3 linked regions of the Saccharomyces cerevisiae S288C genome follow. The gene in region 2 interacts genetically with the main gene of each other region. Each region holds a gene or a part of one and is shown on either strand. Other genes may lie near its edges.

Region 1 (3,930 bases), on a different chromosome or scaffold from region 2:
CAGCGTATATAATCTTCCCATATACTTGTATCTGTTACAAATTGTGAACAAAATCTTTCATATAGCCACCTAATCTGTTTGTCAGTTCTTCCCTCCTCTTTCCAATACTCGATATATCTTTTCCATGTAAGTATGTTCTGCGGTGTCTTTTGTATTTCGTACTCAAAAGCCACATCTTCATCATTTCTTATGTTCTCATCGACGTTTGTTATTACTCCTTTCATTGCGATGTATGCTGACATAGGATATATGGACACAATAAGTTTTGCGGTACTGAAGGATAGTTGAGTCCAATATGGAGGCCTGATTATTTCCTTTTTTTCTATCTATTTCCTTTTGTATTATTTTGACTGAAAAGCTTGCCAGCGTCTTTACTAAAATCTTTCATATGTTCGGACCGCTATAGTAAACTGAAACTTGATATTCAATAATTATCAATCTTCGAAGCTAAAGAAATACAAAATCTTTATTCGAAAAAGTAAGTAACATAATCAACCGCTGATTAGCACAATATGAGGATACAGTCGCTTTTTGTTTTATTTAATGTTGCCATCATCGCATGGTCATATCCATATGAGCCTTTAAGGGTTTTACAAGTAGGAGAGAATGAGGTAATGGAGGTTCCCGAATCAGAAAAGCTAAACTTACGAAGAAGAGGTGTCAAATTCTTTGATGTGACCAAACACACTTCTTTCTTACCTTTCTTTAACAAGGAGGAAGAGCCAACAGTACCAACGTATAACTATCCTCCTGAGATATCGAACAAAGAAGTAGTGGATGATTCGATTAAGAATATAGACAAGGGCTCTATGCACAAGAACTTGGCAAAGTTTACAAGTTTTTACACCCGTTACTACAAGTCCGATCACGGCTTTGAATCTGCCGAGTGGTTAGCTGCAACTATCGCTAATATTACAAAAGATATTCCGCAAGATACGTTGACTATTGAACATTTTGATCACAAAGAATGGAAGCAATATTCAATTATAGTCCGTGTCACGGGATCTACTACGCCAGAAGATATTATAATAATTGGTTCTCATCAAGATTCTATCAATCTGCTACTGCCATCCATAATGGCAGCTCCAGGTGCGGACGACAATGGGTCAGGCACGGTGACTAATATGGAGGCTCTCAGATTATATACGGAAAATTTTTTGAAGAGAGGATTTAGACCTAACAACACTGTGGAATTTCACTTTTATTCCGCCGAAGAGGGGGGATTGTTGGGTTCTCTTGATGTTTTTACAGCTTATGCCAAACAGAAAAAGCATGTGAGAGCGATGCTTCAGCAAGACATGACGGGATATGTTTCTGATCCAGAAGATGAACATGTGGGGATTGTCACCGACTACACTACTCCCGCATTAACTGATTTTATAAAACTAATTATCAACTCTTATCTATCCATTCCTTACAGGGATACACAATGTGGCTATGCTTGTAGCGATCATGGGAGTGCCACCAGAAACGGATTTCCAGGCTCCTTCGTGATTGAAAGTGAGTTCAAAAAGACTAACAAGTATATTCACAGCACCATGGATACTTTGGACAGATTAAGTCTCGCTCATATGGCGGAACACACAAAAATTGTATTAGGGGTAATCATTGAACTCGGGTCATGGTCCGCTTGGTAAAAGTCAGTAATATGCATACATAACTAATGATGCCTTACCTTGGTGTTCTTTTGTAATATACCTAAACCGATATCACGCTAGTATTTATTTCCCGAATTTTTTTGGCGTATTTCGTCATCTGAAAATAACATAATCAATGAAAGAAATAGAGTCAGTTGCAAAAAGTGCAAGCCAGCGCTAACCGCTCCCGATTTAGTCGCAATATTGATGGCAAACAGTACCAAAAACTGGTTACCCATATAAATTGTTTGGCATTGTTATTATTGTTATAAATTATTATTGTTATTATTATAAATTATTATTAGTATTATACAAAGTTTTCAATTCTGCAACAAGTTGGGCCGCAAAATATGGAGAAAAGCGAAAGTAATTCTGAAGGACTTTATCTCCAAAATATATTAAATGTTCCCCCTCCGCAGCGATTTATTGTGCTCATAATACTTGCCCTTTGGATCTGGACATGGATATTAAAATTCTTCTTGCATAGTAATTTAGACGTATCCCAAGTCATACTCACGAGAGTACCGCACGATATACGTCCAGGTTATACTCTACAGCAATTGCATAGAACAGCTAGAAATTTTGCTTTGAAGATAACAAGGATTATTATACCGTTCCACTTTGCCACTGTGTTCCTTTTTGAGTTCATGAATATTATAGAAGGTCCACTCAAAAATATCATTCTCATCGTATATTTTCTACCATTGATCCAATGTGTCACTATATTTTGGTTTCTGTTGAAAGAGTGCCAGATAATAAAATATTGTACTAGGAGATGTTTGTTGATAGAATCCTCCCCCCGTTCCTTAAGGAATACCTACATTTTAATCTCTGACACGTTGACATCGTTTGCAAAACCATTGATAGACTTCACATTGTTTACCTCTCTAATTTTTAGAGAACCCTTCACACATTTTGATCTATCCGTAGCCCTTCTTCCTGTACTGGTAAGACTACTGCAGTGTTTGAGAGAATACCGTTTACTGCACGAAGCAACTTTACTATTCAATGCATTGAAATACAGTTGTAATCTTCCCATTCTTTTTTGCACCTGGAGATCAAGAGTGTATGAGGGATCCATCAACGAAGAAAGACTACACCACGTTCAAAGATGGTTTATGCTAATTAATTCTTCCTATACGTTATTTTGGGATGTAAGGATGGATTGGTCATTGGACTCGTTAACCTCTTTAAGATCCAGATCCAAAAGTGCCGTCACATTAAAGAAAAAAATGTATCATTCGGCGATTCTCGTTGACTTTTTGCTGAGGTTCTGGTGGCTATGGGTATATTTATCGCAGAATCTGAAATTAGTTGCCGCAGATAGCGACTACATTTTTTTCCAAGGCGAAATGCAGTATTTCGAAGTAATTAGAAGAGGCATATGGGTCGTTTTCAAATTGGACGCAGAGTATTATATTAAGTTTGCAAGCAAATAATTTGTTGGGCAAGCCATATAAAATCATGCAAATGCTGTAAATATTTGTTCTATTTTCCCCGTAGAATGGTTTATTCGATATATTACATATAATAAACGAAAAATACATATGCACAGTATATACTTTTCCAAAAAAAAATCAAACACTGTTTGAGCGTCAAGAAACCCCAGGCGGTGCCCGACGATAATGCGACTGCATTATCTCCTACGCTTGTTGTCGTTTGCCTTTCTTTGGTTTATTCTTCGTTCATTTTTGGTCAAATATCTGAACTTTTTTACTCTTGGCTTCTTCTTTTGTTTCTCATCCACGCCCAGAAACTTCGCGTATTTGGTGGCTCTATTTATGCTTTGTTTGAGTACTTTTTCTGCCTTTTCTAATTTGACATTATTTAGCTGGGCTAAATATTCAAAGTTATCATTGGGTTCCAATGTCTCCAATTCAACAGTAGTTGAGTCATCGTATATTTCCGTGATTGCTCCTTTCTTCAAAATAGGCTTTACGCTACTTTCATTATTGTCGTTATCGCCGTCATCTTTATCAGAATCAAACCCGTGCCAGGATTCATCAGATTCTACCTGCAAATCCTCCGTCTTATCATTTTTCGCATCCTCTATCTCAGCTTCCAAGTTTAAACTCTCTTTAAACGTCTTTAACTGTTCTTCCATCACCTCCTTACGTTCCTGCCGAATCTTCTGTCTTTCTTCAATTTTTCTAAGCCTTTCCTGCTCCTTAATAAACTCTTGTGCTTTCTTTTGTCTTTGAAGCTTTCTCTTGTGAAAGCCAGTCAGATAATCCAAACGAGAATCCTTGTCGAACGTCACCTCATCGGTACCGAATTTCTTTGATTGCTTTGT
Region 2 (3,723 bases):
TTGAAAGATCGTGCAAAGGTTGAAAAATGGAAGTTGCACCGGCCTTATCGACTACTCAGTCGGACGTGGCGTTTCAGAAGGTGGAGACACATGAAATTGACAGGTCTTCATACTTGGGGCCATGTTATAATAGCGATGAGCTTATGCAACTTATCTCGGCTTATTACAATGTCGAGCCTCTCGTGGGTTATCTGGAACAGCACCCGGAGTACCAAAACGTGACCTTGCAGTTTCCTGACGATTTAATCAAGGACTCCTCGTTGATAGTAAGGCTGCTGCAATCGAAATTTCCCCATGGGAAGATAAAGTTTTGGGTTTTAGCTGACACAGCGTACAGTGCATGCTGTGTAGACGAGGTCGCTGCTGAACACGTACATGCAGAAGTCGTGGTACATTTTGGTGACGCATGTTTGAACGCCATCCAAAACTTGCCCGTGGTTTACTCATTCGGAACTCCATTTTTGGATTTGGCACTGGTGGTGGAGAACTTTCAGAGGGCATTCCCAGACTTATCCTCCAAAATTTGTTTGATGGCAAACGCACCCTTCTCTAAGCATTTGTCACAGCTGTACAATATTTTGAAGGGCGACCTGCACTACACAAATATCATATATTCCCAAGTGAACACCTCTGCGGTAGAAGAAAAATTCGTAACCATACTTGACACCTTTCACGTTCCCGAAGACGTAGACCAGGTGGGTGTGTTCGAAAAAAATAGCGTGCTGTTTGGTCAGCACGACAAAGCAGACAACATCTCGCCCGAGGACTATCATCTTTTCCATTTGACCACCCCACAGGATCCGAGATTACTGTATTTGTCTACTGTGTTTCAATCTGTTCATATTTTCGATCCGGCTTTACCTGGCATGGTAACGGGGCCATTTCCCTCTCTAATGAGGCGTTACAAGTACATGCATGTGGCAAGAACAGCGGGATGTATAGGTATTCTGGTCAACACGCTGTCGCTACGTAATACAAGAGAAACTATCAACGAGCTGGTCAAGCTTATCAAAACTCGTGAGAAAAAACACTATTTATTTGTTGTCGGAAAGCCAAATGTGGCCAAGCTAGCAAACTTTGAAGATATTGATATTTGGTGCATTCTCGGTTGTAGCCAAAGCGGTATCATCGTTGATCAATTCAACGAGTTTTACAAGCCCATTATTACACCTTATGAATTAAACTTGGCCTTGAGCGAAGAGGTCACATGGACCGGGAAATGGGTTGTGGACTTCAGAGACGCCATTGATGAAATCGAGCAGAATTTGGGCGGACAAGATACCATCTCTGCCAGCACAACTTCCGATGAACCGGAGTTTGATGTAGTTAGGGGAAGATATACTAGCACATCAAGACCACTGCGAGCGCTAACGCACCTGGAGTTAGAGGCGGCCGACGACGACGATTCCAAACAACTGACTACAAGACATACCGCCTCAGGTGCCGTCATTAAAGGTACTGTATCCACTTCAGCATCAGCACTGCAGAATCGTTCGTGGAAAGGTCTAGGAAGCGATTTCGACTCTACTGAGGTTGATAATACTGGAGCGGATATCGAAGAAGGTATTTCCGGTGTCGCACGTGGTTATGGATTTGATCGCGAAGACGCTATGAAAAAGGAAAACAAATGACTCTTATAATTTGTTTCCCTCGACTTCTCTATTTAAATCCAAGATTTTAACTAATAAACTATTTAATAATAAAACAATTAACTCTTTATATGGAAGCCTTGGAAATTAGCCGCCAAAATGGGATATACATTCCGTGCGAAGTGACCGCGTGGAAGGCCGGGTATCATCTTAAAAATCACTAGTTTCTTTTTTAGCGGAATGCAATAAAGGTGCTTTGTGCTGGTGTGGTTTACACGGAACATCTAGTAGCTAAAACTTGGTAACTCAATGGTGATCAGAATCCATAGAAGCATTTTTATTTCTTAAAATGGGTGCTGCTCCTTCCAAAATTGTGGATGGTCTTTTAGAAGATACAAATTGTATGTACACTTCGGAGTGAGGAAAAGAAAGAAAGGGGAAATTAACCGATTTTACTAACACTGACACTTTGAACAGTTGATAGAGATGAAATTGAAAGGTTAAGGAAGAGATTCATGAAATTAGATAGAGATAGCTCAGGGTCTATTGATAAAAATGAATTTATGAGCATTCCTGGCGTTTCGTCAAACCCTCTTGCTGGACGTATAATGGAGGTTTTCGATGCTGATAATAGTGGGGACGTGGATTTTCAAGAGTTCATCACAGGATTATCCATTTTCAGTGGGCGTGGGTCCAAGGACGAAAAGTTAAGATTCGCCTTCAAAATCTACGACATTGACAAGGACGGTTTCATATCCAATGGTGAGTTGTTCATCGTGTTGAAGATTATGGTAGGTTCTAATCTGGACGATGAACAGCTGCAACAGATAGTAGATAGGACGATAGTGGAAAACGATAGCGACGGCGACGGACGTTTAAGTTTCGAGGAGTTTAAGAATGCTATCGAAACCACAGAAGTGGCCAAGAGTCTGACATTGCAATACGATGTGTAAGACTAGGGGACACTTCATTCATTTATGGTATGCCAATATTTTTAAGAAAAGAAGAATAATACGCGATATTGTTTTTTAAGGAAGGAACGCACACTCGCCCAGTTAGAGTGCTGATGATATATACATATATATATGTATATGTAACAAACAATAAGAAAGCAATGATACAACATAGAGATGAGAGAGAGCATATATGTCAGCGACGAGATATACCAAGATGGAAGCTGATCTCATGTAATAACTGCGGGGTGTACTTTGATAATTTTTGGGATTCCATTGTTATTAATAGCTTTGATATCAGACATACAGAATACCAGAGATTTTCCTCAAAAATATGGCAATGCACAAAGGGGGATCAATAGTTATATAAATTAAGATTATTACTTCTTCTTTGTTTTATGTGTTGTTATTCACTATCCCACTGCATTATCAATCCTTACATATCAGCTTCCGTTAAACCCGATGACTATCTCTCAATCATCATACTATCTTCTTACACCGTATATGATAATTACCAGCAATACTAATGCTAGGAGACAGACCATCTTTGATTCCTATTCCAATAAAGTTAAACTGTGATATTGGTTTATTGGATAAGTTCATATCCTAAAACGTGTTGACAACACTTCGGGAGTTTCCAGTAAGTAAAATTTGTATGGAGGGTTGGCCGAGTGGTCTAAGGCGGCAGACTTAAGATCTGTTGGACGGTTGTCCGCGCGAGTTCGAACCTCGCATCCTTCAGTAATTTTTTTTTTTAATTTATTTTTGTGTTGCAAGCGTTGATCCTTTCCATTATGCAGCCATAAGAGGAGGCTGGATATGAATTATTTATTACCAATATAAGGAGCATGTACCGTTGATTTTGAAGAGCCAATTGCTCCAAATTTTGGATTTTGTGTTCGAAAAAGGGAAGATTGCTCCAAACGCAAATAAGGAGGAAACCCGCTGATTGCACTCTTGGAAAAATAAAAATAAAAAGTGGTCTCAGAATTGTTTCAAAAGTGGCACTGACACAATATTTACAGGCGTTGATAGCTTCTTGTTTTAACAATACGATTTAATCTCGGAGTAGTTAAGCCAAAGAATACGTGTTATCCGTAAGAGGCTTATTGCACGTAATCCCCAGTATAAATTATCCGCAAATCGAAGACAAATGTTTAAGAAATACAAAAATCAAGACT
Region 3 (4,879 bases), on a different chromosome or scaffold from region 2:
AGATTCCCAGGCATTTGTGTTACCTGCAGTGGCTAAAACGTCCCAGTCCTTATACTTCAAATCGTGGATAATCTTGGTATGATCTCTAATGAAGTTTAATAGTTCAGGTTGACCAGCACTGAACCCGTATTGCAAAGCTCTTGACAAAGGAATATCGTTGGAAGGATTGGCACTTTTATCAGCGTAATCTTTGTTGACGGTGTATTTTATGCAATTCTGCTCGTCAATTGGAGCTCCAATACCCTGGGGAAAAGGAGGCTTGGGTGAATCTACAGATAGATTATCCCATGGGAAATAATCTTTTAATGGCAGGCCACCACCCAAAAAGATAATGTTAGGATCTTGGAAAAGATGGATGCAGGTTTTCAATGGGGATGGTTTACGAGCATTGGTTTCATCCGAAAACAAGTAAGAAAAGTCTTTTGATTCAGGTAAAGTCATGATAGTAACGATCGGTTGTCCTATTCAATGTCTGTATCAACTGCAGGGTTTAACTTAGTGGAATGGAAAAATAAGAAAAAGAAATAAGTTCTTAAAGATATAACCAAACCAAATATATAGTCTAGAGATGTGTATAGGAGGGTCTACAAGATAAGAAAAAAGATTGCGATACACATATCTTCAAATGAAATGCGCTTAATATTAGTCATAGATTGGACCTCGAGAAAGTGAAAAAGTGCAGAGTGAAAAATGTGATAAAAAAAGGAAAAAAAGACATCTAAGGTAACCCGGATGTTCTTCATTATTCCGGCGCAATTTAGTACTGTTCTTCTATCAATGGCAATTCAGAAGCCAGATTCTTGAATGAGGTGAAGGAGAACAATGGTTATAGGTTAATTAAGAGATTTTTGGATGGTGTATATGAGCCATGTTTAATCTTGGAAAAATAGTGAACCGGGAAAAAAATAAAGAAGAACTCCTCATAGGGGGCTCGAACCCCTGACATTTCGGTATCCTTGCTTAAGCAAATGCGCTTAAAAGCCGAACGCTCTACCAACTGAGCTAACAAGGATGAGTTCTTCGGATTTCTTCGATAATAGTTTTAGTTAAATATACATTATGTTCACATAATGCTATTATTTAATGCACATGTTAATGGACGGTAAACTACTTATCATTTATTGCAACAAATGAAAAGACACCACCCTAACAGCACGAAAAATGATGTTAATGTCTTGTATAGTATTGTCGGATAACTAACTCTCGTCTCAACAAAGCTTAAATAAGAGCTGAGAGATTGGTGAATTTTAAGATGATTGTAGGCATTTCATTGTTGATCAAGGCTACAATATTATGTATACAGAATATACTAAAAGTTCTCCTCGAGGGTAGAGGAATCCTCAAAGGGGAAGCGATATTTCTACATAATATTATTACGATTATTCCTCATTCCGTTTTATATGTTTCATTATCCTATTACATTATCAATCCTTGCACTTCAGCTTCCTCTAACTTCGATGACAGTTTCTCATACCTTATGTCATCGTCTAACACCGTATATGATAATATACTGGTAGTGTGACTACTAGTTTATAGACGATAGTTGATTTTTATTCCAACAGGATCATTTTGTTAGGTGAGGAATTGCGAGCTTTTTGGCTATAACTTTCAAGTTTTGTCACCAACATTTATATTTGCTTACTGCAGCCCGGAACCGAAAAACAATGTGGAAAAAGAAAAAAAAGTGGAATATTTTGATAATATAGGAAACATTAAGAAAAGCGATTTCTTATCATTGTCTTCAACTCCCATCTATTTGAAAAAGCTTGCTGAAGCATACTTTGGTTAAAGAGTACCTTGGCTATAGAATACCGTAGAGATAAAGACCTGAATAGATGTTTTACAATAGGTGGCTCGGAACGTGGCTAGCCATGTCTGCTTTAATAAGGATCTCAGTATCCCTTCCGTCATCTGAGGAGTACAAAGTGGCATATGAGCTGTTGCCAGGGTTATCTGAAGTGCCAGACCCTTCAAATATTCCACAGATGCATGCTGGCCATATTCCTTTACGTTCCGAAGATGCGGATGAACAGGATAGCTCTGACTTGGAGTACTTTTTTTGGAAGTTTACCAATAACGACTCTAATGGCAATGTCGACCGTCCCTTAATTATATGGTTAAATGGTGGACCCGGTTGCTCTTCCATGGATGGTGCCTTGGTCGAATCCGGCCCTTTTAGGGTGAATTCAGACGGTAAACTTTATCTAAATGAAGGGTCCTGGATATCCAAAGGCGATCTTTTATTTATCGACCAACCTACTGGTACTGGGTTTTCTGTCGAACAAAATAAAGACGAAGGTAAAATCGACAAAAACAAATTTGACGAAGACCTAGAAGATGTGACCAAGCATTTTATGGATTTTCTGGAGAACTATTTCAAGATTTTTCCAGAAGACCTCACTAGGAAAATCATACTATCGGGTGAAAGTTACGCTGGCCAATACATACCATTCTTTGCCAATGCAATTTTGAACCATAACAAATTTTCAAAGATCGACGGGGATACATACGACTTGAAGGCGCTATTGATTGGTAACGGTTGGATTGACCCCAATACACAGTCCCTATCGTACCTTCCGTTTGCTATGGAGAAGAAACTGATTGATGAAAGCAACCCCAATTTCAAACACTTAACGAACGCACACGAGAATTGCCAGAATCTGATAAACTCTGCCAGTACAGATGAGGCAGCCCATTTTTCGTATCAGGAATGTGAGAATATTTTAAACCTTCTATTGTCTTATACCAGGGAATCTTCGCAAAAGGGAACAGCGGATTGCTTGAACATGTATAACTTCAATTTAAAAGATAGTTATCCATCTTGTGGTATGAATTGGCCGAAAGATATTTCCTTTGTCAGTAAATTCTTCAGCACACCTGGTGTTATTGATTCGTTGCATCTTGATTCTGATAAAATTGATCATTGGAAGGAATGCACTAATAGCGTTGGAACTAAATTGTCTAATCCTATTTCAAAGCCATCTATCCATTTATTACCTGGTCTACTTGAAAGTGGAATAGAGATTGTCTTGTTCAATGGTGACAAAGACTTGATTTGTAATAACAAGGGCGTATTAGATACTATAGACAATCTAAAATGGGGTGGAATAAAGGGATTTAGCGACGATGCTGTTTCGTTCGATTGGATCCATAAATCGAAGAGTACAGACGACAGCGAAGAATTTAGCGGATACGTGAAGTATGATAGAAATTTGACGTTTGTTAGCGTTTATAATGCTTCTCACATGGTACCCTTCGATAAAAGTTTAGTGAGTAGAGGCATTGTCGATATTTACTCGAACGATGTTATGATCATTGACAACAATGGGAAAAATGTTATGATTACTACTGACGACGATAGTGATCAAGATGCTACTACTGAAAGCGGTGATAAGCCAAAAGAAAACCTCGAAGAGGAAGAACAGGAAGCGCAGAATGAGGAAGGAAAGGAAAAAGAAGGCAATAAAGATAAAGATGGCGATGATGATAACGACAATGATGACGACGATGAAGACGATCACAACTCCGAGGGCGACGACGATGATGACGATGACGATGATGAAGACGATAATAATGAAAAACAAAGTAATCAAGGCCTCGAGGATAGTAGACATAAATCTTCAGAATATGAACAAGAAGAGGAAGAGGTAGAAGAATTTGCAGAAGAGATTTCAATGTATAAACACAAAGCGGTAGTAGTTACCATCGTTACATTTTTGATAGTGGTTTTAGGAGTTTATGCGTATGATAGAAGAGTGAGGAGAAAAGCGCGTCACACAATTTTAGTTGATCCAAATAATAGACAACATGACAGTCCCAATAAGACAGTTTCATGGGCAGATGATCTGGAAAGCGGACTCGGGGCAGAAGATGATTTAGAACAAGATGAGCAGTTAGAAGGCGGAGCACCCATAAGTAGCACTTCTAACAAAGCAGGATCTAAATTGAAAACTAAGAAAAAGAAGAAGTATACTAGCCTTCCGAACACTGAAATCGATGAATCTTTTGAGATGACTGATTTTTAACTTGGCAAATAAAAATATATAAAAAATACAGAAAAATAGTTATAATACCTCGCACACGCTTTTCGTAGTAACAGCGACATAAAGATAAATTCTTTAAAGGGTACAATCCATCAAGAACTGACTGTTTTATTTAATTCACACTACTGAACTTCATATTAAAGTGTCGTCATTTAAGTCTAGTAGGTTATATTAATCGCGCACAATAGTTTTTTTTTATGCAAACTGTATCACGAATATTTTTTCAGTTTTCGGACCATTTTTTGACATTTTTAACCAGTTTTTAACATTTTTATGGTAGCGTTCTTTTATTTTTCACGTAATTGCATTGAAATAGACATAAACGTATAAAATAATATACAAGTAATTAGAGCTTTTGAACGAGATTGTTTAGTGGTTGTTTTAACTCCTTCACAGAAGTTGAAAACTTCAACGCATTCATAGCCCCACATATCAACACAAATCCCTGGAAATGAATGGAACTGATATCCTTCGTTTTTTGCAATCTTCCCCCACCATTAGTTACAGCAAACATTTTATACTTATAACAGCATGCCCTCTGTTTGTATTAGGACTATTATTGTTAGGTCTTAGAACAGCAATGTTCAAACAAGTAAGAGGTAAAACGACAACAAGTAGAAATAGAGGTGTCATTGCGGCAAAGTTATTAGTTGCATGGTATCTTGCCACCATAGTTATGTATATTGCTAAAAGCGAAATGTGGAAATATGCCTTTGCTGTTTCGCTACTTCTTAATAGTTTGGCACTATTTTTTTGAAAAAATGGAATCGATATTTCTGCATATTAATATCACCATCATTTCTCCTCCCTTATATGTTCCATTACCCTATTACATT

What was found.
Region 1: mutations in CNB1 (region 2) and ERD1 together harm fitness more than expected from each alone (negative genetic interaction), as found in Saccharomyces cerevisiae (3 studies listed by BioGRID).
Region 3: mutations in CNB1 (region 2) and KEX1 together harm fitness more than expected from each alone (negative genetic interaction), as found in Saccharomyces cerevisiae (3 studies listed by BioGRID).

What each region holds. Positions count from the first base shown.
Region 1 is NC_001136.10:1,294,744-1,298,673, reverse strand, and holds ERD1 (Erd1p), read left to right. Parts: upstream 1-1,987; coding exon 1,988-3,076; downstream 3,077-3,930. Other genes in the region: mRNA splicing protein SYF1, read right to left, coding at 1-242; YDR415C (putative aminopeptidase), read left to right, coding at 513-1,637; rRNA-processing protein RRP17, read right to left, coding at 3,274-3,930. UniProt on the Saccharomyces cerevisiae protein: Required for the retention of luminal endoplasmic reticulum proteins, affects glycoprotein processing in the Golgi apparatus.
Region 2 is NC_001143.9:81,009-84,731, forward strand, and holds CNB1 (calcineurin regulatory subunit B), read left to right. Parts: upstream 1-1,938; coding exon 1,939-1,990; intron 1,991-2,066; coding exon 2,067-2,542; downstream 2,543-3,723. Other genes in the region: DPH2 (2-(3-amino-3-carboxypropyl)histidine synthase), read left to right, coding at 27-1,631; HYM1 (Hym1p), read left to right, coding at 3,696-3,723.
Region 3 is NC_001139.9:111,621-116,499, reverse strand, and holds KEX1 (serine-type carboxypeptidase), read left to right. Parts: upstream 1-1,835; coding exon 1,836-4,025; downstream 4,026-4,879. Other genes in the region: ARO8 (bifunctional 2-aminoadipate transaminase/aromatic-amino-acid:2-oxoglutarate transaminase), read right to left, coding at 1-441; YGL204C (uncharacterized protein), read left to right, coding at 4,495-4,800.